Sus scrofa: one gene and its partner. The protein of the gene in region 1 interacts with the protein of each later gene in a pairwise test. Links are inferred from orthologs where the notes say so. Each region holds a gene or a part of one and is shown on either strand. Other genes may lie near its edges.

Region 1 (5,262 bases):
TCAATTACAAATAACCAAAACCAAGTAATAAACATCCCAAAACTCTCATCATCCTTGGGAGAAAAATGCTTCTCAGCCTGGCATTGGAGGGTCTATTTTTCTATCTTGTAAGGTCTAGCTGTGGCAAATAGATGATCACTAAGTGTTTGTTGAATGAACAAAAGGCAGACCTTTTCTGCTGGCCGTTGGCACTGCAGCGACAATCTGTGGTGTGTGACTGGTCCAAATCTCTCTCTTTTTCTTCCAGAAGAGGTGCTTGGTCTCCAGCTGCCCTTGTAGCAAGCGGTGGTCATGCCAAACAGTTCTGGCTAGTGAGACAGTCTCTTGCGGGCTCTTGGAAGCCTAGTGCTTTTCTTTATAAAAAGGAAGGGATGTGTCCCCTTCTCTCTGCACATATGACATATGAAGCTAAAATACCCACCATCTCCTGAGCACAAGAAAGGGGCCAAGAGAATCACAGAGAATTCACAGCCTGCTGGCCCCGGTGCTGTGGAAACTCTGAGCTGTGGGCCCGCAGCTGCCCTCCTCCAGACTTGTTTTATGAGGAAAATAAAACCCCTAGTGCTTAATCCATTATTGGGCGTTTTGCTATTGTTAAGAAATGTAGTTGCCAGTGTTAAAAAGCCAAGAGACTGAGAGTTCTCTGTGGCACAGTGGCTTAAGGATCCACCATTGTCACTGCAGGGGCTTGCATCACTGCTGTGGCGCAGGTTCAGTCTCTGGCCTGGGAACATCCACATGCTATGTATGGGTGTGCGCCCCCCCCCCCCCCCGCAGAGGGGAAAAAACCCAAACAAACAAGAGACTTCACATAAAAAAAAAAAAAAACCCGAAAAACAATACAGGGGTGTGGATTCTGGAGCACAGTGTCTGGGGTCCTAGCAATGGGTAATCCCAAGTCACAGTGGCACAACCATGGGAATAACAGTAACAAGAGCTCTGGGAAATTCATTGAACCAGACTTTGCTCTGAGGCGGTGGGGAGCACGGCTCACACTGGAGGAGGCTGGAGGTAGCAGAGCTGGAGGTGGGGCCAGGTGGGGGGCGGAGACTGGCCCAGCAGCAGGACCGAGAGCAGCAGCAGCAGCAGCAGGCCCAGGACTGGTGCTGGGATAAGTGGGTGCCGAGTGACCCTGCTGGGGGGCAGGACAGTGCTTGGGGGGGTGTCCAGGGGAGCCCACGGTGTCCCAGCAATGCCCTGATGCCTGACCACCACCCTCCTTCTGCAGATACCTTGGGGTACACCTGAGATGCTGGGAGTGCAAGGGGCACAGGCAGAGCTGGCTCCAGATGGGCCTCCTGACTGGGACCAGCTCCCTCACCACCGGCACCAGGGCTAGCTGCGGCTCTGGCTCTGAGGGGCTGTTGGCGAGAAAGGAAGGCAGGGCAGTGGCACTGGTGCCCCCAGGTCCCCTCCCGGGCCCTTGGGTTCCACTACCTCTCAGGAGGGGTTCCTGGGATGTCTGCAGGGTCTGAGTCTCCCAGAGGGATGGGTAGATCCACCTTGGAGGAAAAAGGAGACAAAGCTGAGGCACTGGGTCCTGGACTGGGAGAGGTGCTCAGTTCAGCCCAGGAGACAGAAGTGACCACACAGAAGGGGTGGAACACAGAGATTCAGCGCCTAAGCTTCTCTGAGCTTACTACAGCGCTGGGCTCCCCGCTCTGCCAGCTGCCTGCTGTGCATCCCTTGGCGTGTCACCCCACCTCTCCAGGCCCCATTTTCCCATCTGCCAGACAGGGATGAGAAGGCACTCACCACACAGGCCTGAAGTGGGGAATGAATGAGTAAATGCAGGAAAAACCAAAGTATGAGGAGGTGGGCTCAGAACAGTGCCTGACAAACAGTGAGCCCTCGATAACTGCGTGAGCTCCTCAGTATTATTATTTCCATTTTCTATCTGATTCTGGAAGTATCCAAGCCCCTGAGGGCAGAGCCCCTATCTTCTCCAGGAGCCCAGGCCTGGGCTGGGCCTGGTCCAGCATGGGCCCTCCACAAGCCCATTGCACTGCCCTGTGCCAGGTCCAGCAGGTGATTTAAGGTTAAAGCCCCAAATATTCCTCCAGGGGCTTTGCTCTGTGGACAATGATTATGGCAATAGCAATAGATTTAGAAGGGTAGAGTTCCAGCAACACCAGTCCGAGCCCCTCTCCTCGCTGTTGTTGCCTACCCTGCCTCTGCTCTGGCCAGGCTGGCCCTTGTGATGTGTTGCGACTCTGACAGCTGACTACAGATCAAAATCACACCAGCCATGAGGAAAGTGAGGTGGGGCCCCAGCCTCCAGGGACGGGAGCATGCTGTGGTGGGAAAGAGGTGGGCTTTGGGGTCAGGCTGCCCAGAGAGACCATCTCGGATGGTTTGGACCCTAGTCTCCCGATTATCTGGGTGCTCTCCTGGGCATACCTTGAAGGGTCCCGGGTGCCTGGAATGGAGGCTGGCACACCTTTGGGCTCTCATGTTTTTCTTTCTTTCTTTCTCTTTTTTTGTCTTTTTAGGGCCACACCCTCAGCATATGGAGGTTCCCAGGCTAGGGATCCAATCAGCGTTGTAGCCGCCGGCCTACACCACAGCCACAGCAACACGGGATCCAAGCTGTATCTGCGACCTACACCACAGCTCAAGGCAACGCCGGATCCTTAACCCACTGAGCAAGGCCAGGGATCGAACTTGTGTCCTTATGAATGCTAGTCAGGCTCACTAACCACTGAGCCACAACGGGAACTCCTGGGCTCTCACGTTCCTTATCTGAGGACCACAGGCTTCTGGCCTCACCAAATTTCCTTCCCTCCCATCCCTTGCCTGAGAATCGGGATTGTTGCCTGCAAATTTGAGGAGCAAAGGAGCCTGGGTATGTGGTGCCAGTGTGTGTGGTGTCGGGCAGGGCAGCTGTGACAGGCGTGGTGCCCCAAGGGAGTTCTGGGGCTGGTGGGGAGGGTCCGGCCCTTCCTGTGCAGGGTGCATGTGCGTTTTTGCAACCTGGGGGTGTAGCATGCCTGTGAGGCCTATGGCATGGTGGCTGCAGCCCTGAGTGTGAGCTGGTGGCGGAGGGGGAGGGGGGGGTCCCTTGGGAACATTCTGGCCGCCCACTGGCTGCAGCCTCCCTCTACAGCATCGTCTGCTCTCATTAGCTACCAAGAGGGCATTGTTATCTCTTGGCTAAACGATTTTTCTGTCTGGTGGGTGGAATGGGGGTGTGGGTGGGGGCTGGGGAGGAGCTGTGACTACAGCAGCCTCGTCTGAGGGCCTGGAGTGGATGGTGCTGGGGACTGCCTACCGTCACCTGGCTCTCCGCTTCCTCTTCTTCCTCTCTTCTGGGCAACCTGGGGTGGTGACAAGAAAGTCACTGAAAACATCTGTCATCCCTGCCTGGCTCCCTTTTGCCTGCCGTGTGGTGGAATCTTTAAAGCAGGGGCCTGGAGGTGGAGGGGCACCAGGGATGGGCCTGGAGGGTACTCTGGACCCCCATGAGCAAACTGGTGTGTGTACGTCAGTGTCTGTATTTTTCAGGGGAATTTTCACCAAATTCTCCAAAGAGTCTGTGACTCCTGAAAAGGATCAGGGGCCTCTTCACCTCACTGGCTTTTTCAGCTGCTACTTTCCCAGCTGATCTCCCAACTGGGAACTGAGGCTTCTGTTATCTCACACTTTAAACACTGGAGACTCGGACCCGAGACACACCCACTGCCCCAACTTCCTGTCTGGTGGGTTGGCCATTTTCACTGAGTCTCACTGAAACTCTTCTCTGAGGCCTGGAACTCCAGCTCAGACTTCCCCGAGCCCAGCATCCAACTGTGTGAGCCCTACACCCACCCCAAATCATTTCTCTGAGGTGCCAGCCCCCACCCTCCGTGCCTCCTACGGTCACAGCTGACTGAGCACCTGAAAGGCCTCCGTGGGGACTCAGGCCTCAAGCTGCCCAGCCCCAGAGCCCCTTGGAGACTCTGCTGTCCACATCATCCACTGGCACCTTCACTGGGGAGCAAGGATCCAGCCCTCCAGCCTCGGCCACCAGCTGCAGACCCAGCACCCTTGGGATACAGCTGTCCCCTCAGTTACTGCTCAGGAAGGCAGCTTGGCTCCTGGGCCCCCAGCCTCTGCCCCAGTCAGACACACGGCTGTCTGATCCTTTGGGACTTCTACTCAGGACCCCCGGTCCCTCTCAAGGTCCAAGCCCTCATCCCTGGTCACCTCCAGGGGACACAAAATTCACCACTTCCCTCACTCCCAGCTTCCCAATCTGTAGCTCATGCTGCCCCAGCATCCCTCTCCCCAAAATCCAAATGTCCAGCCCCCACACCAGCTTCTGTCCCCGCAGCTCAGCCCCATCTTCCTCCCTTTCCCTGGTGACGCAAGCAGAGGTCACAGCTCTGGGGCCCCCATCCTGCCAGATCTCAGCTTTCCCAGACAAGTCCAATTAGAGGCCGAGGCAGCAGCCTCATTAGTGGCCGAAGCTGGGAGCCTGAGGGAGGCCGGGGGAGGGGGGCGGGTTGGGGGGGGGTGGAAGAGGCACCACAGGAAGGCAGAGGCCCCGAGGAGGAGGGGCAACCGGATATCTAGCGCTTTCTCTGTCCTCAGAGGTTGCACGTGAGCCTCTAACGGTCTCACCGGGCAGAGGCTCACCCCATCCCATCACCAAGCAGCCAAGCTGGGATCTGAACCCAGGCTGTCTGATTCCAGAGCCCCTGACGTCTCCCAATTGTCTGGTTGCTCTCCTGGGGCACAATCTGAGCCTCATTCATCCCAGGAAGCCGTGGGAGGGGTGCGTTCAGTGACCGGGACTGAGTGCCTGAGCTGTCCCCCTTGCCTGACAGCTGTATTCTTGTGTAAGGGTCTCCTACATGAATGCCAGCCCTGCTGGACCCCAAGCAGGGCCTCCCGCAAAGCCACCCCCTCTGGGTGTCCTCCCAGAACCGTCTGGGTCAGGGGCTGTCTCCTCCACAGACGGAAGGTGCTGAGGGCAGGACTGGGTCTGACTCAACCCAGTCCACGGGCCCAGGGTCGCCGCAGCATGAAGGAACGAGGGCAGGAGTGACCCACTGCTCCTTCAGGGCTCTTCCGGGCTCTGCACTCTATCCACTAAGAAGGGGGCGTCACCCCAAGGCAGAGCCGTGGCTCAGGGAGGACCACTCTTCTCACCACATCGATCGCTCCTTCCTTTCGTCAGGAGGGTGTGCTGGTTCTCCCTGCAAGTTGTTCTGCGGGAAAGAAAAGCTCGGGTTTCTCAGGCTGCAACCCCTGCACGAATTCACCAGCTGCTTCTAAGAC
Region 2 (6,054 bases), on another chromosome or scaffold:
TGAATATGGAGGAAAGGGATGATACAGAAACTAGAGGTCTCTATAAATGTGGAGTGGCAGTGACAGAGATGGGAGATCAGAAAGTAGCAGACAGCACTCGTTACTGAAAGAAGGTCAAAGTGTGAATAGGAAGCTCCTTCAAGGTACAGGACAAATCTCACTTTCTCTAAAAAGCAAAACACTCTCCCTTGAATTCTTATAGCTCTGACTATACCTAAAACTATTATTACACTCCAGACTGCACTCCTAGGGCAGAAACTAAATCTGTTGGGCTCATGGCTATTTACTCCTCACAAACATACATACACAGTAAGGAACACCCAATAAATACTTGTAAATGCATAAATTAATTAACAGACATCAAGTTCACTGTTATTCAACTTTGAATGTGCCTTTATCAACACTGGAGTCATAAGCTTCTTTGAGGACAGAGGTAGTGTCTCTTCTATATTCTCTGCACCTAATGAGTATTTTACATGCAGCAAACAGTCTCCACCACCACTAAACCCACGACAAAATGTTAAACATGTATATTCCTGAAGAGAAAGAGCTGCATTCTCCAAATTTTCCCTCAACTACTGACACTATCCACAAAGCTAAGTGTGCTATTACAAAAGTTAAGGACTCAGGTAACTAGACATAATGTTCCCCCCCCCCCTCAATAATTAATCATTTAAGAATGCATTCTCAGGAGTTCCTGCTGTGGCATAGTGGGTTAAGAATCCAACTGCAGCGGCTTGGTTGCTGTAGAGGCAGGGATTTGATGCCCCTACACCATGGATTAAAGGATCTGGCATTGCTGCAGCTGTGGCATAGATCGCAGCTGCAGCTCCAAATCAGTCCCTGATCAGGGAACTTCCACATGCCCCAGGTGAAGGCATTAAAAAAAAAGATGCATTATCACCTTATTAATCAATGATACTCTGTAAAAACTCTAGGACCAAAATCCATAAAGAAAAGAAAATTGTCCTTATATTTTATGTGACTAAAGTTCTGGATATAACATGGACCCAATAAGTCATTATTAACTGGTTGAATTTAATCACTTGACAACCTTACCAAGGAATTCATTTCTAAATTAATGGCTAGTTGTTTCATTTCCTTTATTATTAATTTTACCTATCTTAATTTTATTTTTAGAGTTCTTCCATAGTGTTCCATTTATTATAAGTGAAATTCTCATTTTACTTATTGCCTAGAAATCTTTAAATGCACATTTATTTCTTCTATTAATTTCCCTTCACATCATCATCCACCCATTTCTATATATATATATAATCAGATATATTTTATATACTTATATAATATAAAGATATATATTACATAAATATATATGTAGATAGATAGATAAATTTAGCCACTTCTTTTTGTGTGACTTACTGCTATGAAAAGTTGTAGGAAAGCTAATGAATGCCAAAGATGATTCTCAGATTTTGTCCATTAGACAAATGCTACTTCTGGATAGTTTCTGTCAATAACCAAACCAAATTATTTAGAGTCATGTGAAATGTGGAAGCTTTTCCACATGAATATCTATCAGATTCATGATCATAAGTTTAAAGCTCCAGGTCAATACACATTGATAATTAAAAAAAAAACAACTCTTGTCACTTTATGTCACATCACACCAATGTAAATTAGAGCAATAGACACCTAAGTAACCACCTTGCCTCAACTACAGGGGAGCTTAAAAACAAAAAATAAAAAAATACCCACACTATCATAGAGATTCTAATTTAATTAAGCTGGGCTGGGGTCCAGGCAGCAATGCTTTAAAAGCTCTCCAGGTGATTCTAATGTACAGTCAGGACTTCAAACCACAACTTCTTAAGTCCTTTTCCTACAATTTATTATTGCACACTCCTGCACAAAAACATTCAAAGAGGCCAAAGAACCTAGTGATGAGATCCAAACTCCCTGGCCTGGCACTCAAAGGTCTCTACAATGTGGCTGTTTCTGGTTCCAAGTCTCCTACTTCAACCAAATCTGCCTAATCAAAATCCTGTAAATACATCATTCACAGTTTTAGATTGTAGTACTACAATTGTTTTTTTTGGGGGGTGTCACCCTTTCAACTGGAAATTGTCTTTCCTACATTTTGTTATTCCAGCTTTAGTCCAAGTTCCTAAGTCTCCACAAAGTACCAAATGTTCTGTCTCTGAAATCCATGAGGCATTCACTATCTCTAGAACTTAGTTGATATTTGGTTGTAGTGCTACCACCTTGTACTATAATTTATTTTTGTACATGTTTCTACTCTTCAGCTAGATTGGAAGCACAAACAGAACTACAAATGACTGTATACCTAGAGCTTACTCAAGTACACAATCAGTAATGATAAAACGGAAAAACACTTAAGTATATAAAACTAAACTTGTTCAAAATGAGTTATCTTTTTTCTCTACAATGTACCTGGCTAACTTTCTTCTATGATCCAAGTATTCATCATTCATACAGACTACATATTTCAAAAGCTGTTTCTCATACTACAATTTACTAACCAATGTATGTGCCTAGAGTTACTGCAACTTTCACTAACTTTAAATACCTGGCACTTTTGAAAAACTTTTTCCTCCCACCTTATTATAAGAACTAAAAAAGGTAACATTATCTTTTAAAAAATATTTCCTATATTTTGTCAGGTATACTGTGCACTGATTTAGAAGGTTTTTCTCTTTTCTTTTTTCCCAGTCATCTCTTAATAGCTTCGGAATCAGAAAATACTGTTTTAATGGCTGTGTGTTATAAGTCCCATTATAAGTCCTTGTACCTAACTTATTTCTGCTGCTTTATGAACTTGCTTCCTAAGCCAAAAGGTCAAGAACAAATGCTAAGTCACCAAGTATTACCACATTCTACAGCCTTAACAGGTGAACAAGTCTTATATAAGAAATGTTCTAGGTTAAATGGCCTTTGACCCTGAAGTTCCAGATCATGGCCTTTAACAGTTGTAATGTCACCTTTACCTTTGTAACTCACTGTTACCAGACTAATATGATTATTGGTGTGCTTTGCATGCAACACTAACTTCTCAAATTTCGCTTCTGAAGAAATTAACATTAGGCCCCCCTAAAAGAAACCGAAGACAGATTTCGAGAAACTCAGCAATTTCCATAATCACGCTCAGGCAGTAACACTAAAAACTCAGTAGTTGACACCTGGGCATACCTCACCCCAAGCCCTCCACTACTCTCTCTAAACTTACCATCCAGTACTTGGGACTGAACCAAACTTAAGGACCCCCAGAATCTGGGACAAAACGGTGTGTTTCCACTTGGCACCGTCTCCAAAGACCCCTCCAGACCTCCTGCTTTCTGGCTGATTCCAGTGACAGGAGACAGGTCTGACTTCCTCCCGTGTCCCGGCACCCAGCACCGCCAGTTCTGCGGCCCCCGAACTTCGAATCTCAGCCCTCTTCTTACCCAGGCCTGCACGCCTCATCCTGCCAGAGGAGCGGGGGGAAAAGGCGGGCCGACGGGGTGGGCAGGAAGAGGCTAGGGGCCACCCGGACAGCGTCCTCAGTACCAGGGCCCGGCGAAACACCAACTTCTTTCCCCAAAGCGCCACGACATCAGTGGAGTCTAAACATCGCGCTGGCTGATGGCGTCACCCAAGGCACTTATTGGCCTCGCGAGGTGGCTTGAATGGCATTCTGGGAAATGTAGTTCGCCGCCGAGGCTAGAAGCCGGGCTGAAGCGTAGGATGAAGCCGGGTGGAGGAGCGGGCGGGGCTTGCGTAAGAAGGGCGCGCGGCCCGACTTCCACTCTGCAACCAGGACCCTGGAGCTCAGCTCTTGGGCTGGCGCTGGCTCTCAGCTGTTCAACTGAGTTCATCTACCCTTCCCAGACCAAGAGAGGATGGTTGACTTCTTTTTCCTGATTCAGCCTCTCACTTCTCTCACCTGGAGTTAGTTCAGGTAAAGTCAAAGAAAACTTTATTCAAGTTTCTTAACTCACACACAAGTGGGGACCCATAGAAGGGAAAGAAGAGGGTAACCGACTTGTTCCAGGTCACCCAGTAGAGAAAACCGTGGAGTAGGGCTGCTGCTCGGATTAAAGAAGGCAATGAAAGTAGCCTGGTTTCCTCTGAGGCACTGAAGACTCCGTTCCCTGTTACTGGGTTGGTTACATTGCTAGAAGGATCCGAGGCTATTAGTTTTGAAGGGACCGAAGGCCCCTAAACTTCCTTTAGAACTGTTTAACTTAAACAAAGAATACTAAAATACTGTTTGTCCTTTTTAACTTACACAAAGAATGCCGAAATATTGTTTACACGTGGTAATGTGCCAGTGTTTAAAAGCTTGTTAGTGAGGGTAGAGTCATTCTGGAATTGGGGTTAGTCCTAGACTTTCATTTTATCTCACGGGGATTATTGTGAGGATTAACTGAAATAACTTAAAAAAAAATCTGATGTGCATTAGTTGATCAGAAACCCCTGGATTCTAGCCGTTTTGTCGTTGCTGCTGTATGACAGTTGGGATACTCTCCATACTAGAGATTTTTGAGAATGCAATAATCGCTGATCATTTGGTGCTCCCCCCACAGTTTCCCAATATGAACATTGACTGTAGTAATGGTAGAGTAAGTCTCTGCCCCAAGGTTGTTTTTGTAAAATACAACACACAAAAACCAATTTTTAATAAAAGTTACTAACATGGGAAATAAGATTAATCCAATAGCGTTTTGAGAGAAAAACAGTCTTCATAAAAATAAACAACCATTTTCTAAAAACAGGGGAATCAGAGACAGTTATTGCAAATAAACACTGAAGGTTCAATAAGAGAAATGGCATTTTAACTTAATATCTGTGACAGTCCCTTTTTTTTCTAAGAAGTGCATGTGTTCTATAACCAAAGCATGTCAGAAAAATCATCTTAAAAAGATTTCTTGTGGTAATGTAAAAATTTTTAAATCTGATGTTAAGCTTACCAAAACAGATTATTTAAATTACATATGTACTTATCCTCTTATAAAGGGGATAATGCTTCCTTTACATTATAGGGAGACATAATAATAAAATATGAAAGAAGAAAATATAAAGTAATAAGGGGTACCAAGAATTTAACTCAAGACAGGTAAAGCTGGTTTCTATTGAGCTTGTGACCTAGAAATCCAAATAGTTGCTTATTGCTTCTGTTGGCCAGTTACGATGAACTCATTTGAGATTTTGTGTTCAAAAGATGAGGTGGAAAAAATAGATTTAATACAGTATTTAGAACTTTATTCTCTTCTCATAAGATAATTTCATAGAAAACATCTAATCTTTGGGGTCTATAGGAAATGAATGACTAATAATGACTGATCCTTACTACTATTATAGTAACTATAGAAACAAGAATATGAGCAGGAAATGTCTGAATCTTGGTGGGAAATTTGAAACTTTCTTTTTTCCTATTGTCTGTTTCCTGCCCCTGTGGCCTTCCTCCTCCAGACCAAATTCCAGGGCTAATCCAAGGGAAATAGCACACCAAGCTCTCAAAAGTAGCTACATCAACATTAAAAATGTTCCAATCATGAAGCAAATTCATTATATCAAGCATCATATTTGAACTTTAAGAAAATGTTAGCTAAAATTCAATAGCTCTTAACTTACAAAGAGGCTTTGGAACAAAACTTAGTTTTTAAGCCAGTTATTTGGCACTTAAATGTATTTCTCTTGGAGGCAGAAATGATGGATGATAAGGTTCCCAACCCAGCCCAATAGCATGGCTATTATGGTTCCTATGTTAGCCAAAATCTGTGTAACCCATAGTACAGCTGAAATACTATATATTTTCAATGAAAACTAGTAGAAAAAAAATTGTAATCCTCATGGTAAAATAAGATCATTAGGAGTTCCATGGTGGCCAAAGGGTCAAGGATCCAACATTGTCACTGCTGTGGTTCTGGTTACTGCTGTGGCTTGGGTTCAATCCCTGGCATGGGAACTTTCGCATGCCATGGTGCAGCCAAAAAAAAAAAAAAAATCATTAAAAAAGAAACAATTTTTGAAAGTATTTTGGTCATTCTTGTTTGAGAAAATATTCAGAGTTTTCAAAGAGCCACCCATTTGACC

What was found. The genes of interacting proteins can lie anywhere in the genome.
Region 2: the proteins of CCDC155 (region 1) and BET1 interact in binary tests that used the Homo sapiens proteins (3 or more experiments, as listed by UniProt). The two-hybrid records come from large-scale screens. The link is inferred for Sus scrofa from reciprocal best matches to the Homo sapiens genes KASH5 and BET1.

Annotation. Positions count from the first base shown.
Region 1 is NC_010448.4:54,496,616-54,501,877, reverse strand, and holds the end of CCDC155 (protein KASH5), read right to left. Parts: intron 5,193-5,262; coding exon 5,134-5,192; intron 3,318-5,133; coding exon 3,272-3,317; intron 1,503-3,271; coding exon 1,438-1,502; intron 1,362-1,437; coding exon 1,233-1,361; intron 1,136-1,232; coding exon 991-1,135; 3' UTR 779-990; downstream 1-778. UniProt on the Homo sapiens protein: As a component of the LINC (LInker of Nucleoskeleton and Cytoskeleton) complex, involved in the connection between the nuclear lamina and the cytoskeleton.
Region 2 is NC_010451.4:73,789,043-73,795,096, forward strand, and holds the start of BET1 (BET1 homolog), read right to left. Parts: upstream 3,612-6,054; 5' UTR 3,442-3,611; coding exon 3,423-3,441; intron 1-3,422. UniProt on the Homo sapiens protein: Required for vesicular transport from the ER to the Golgi complex. Functions as a SNARE involved in the docking process of ER-derived vesicles with the cis-Golgi membrane.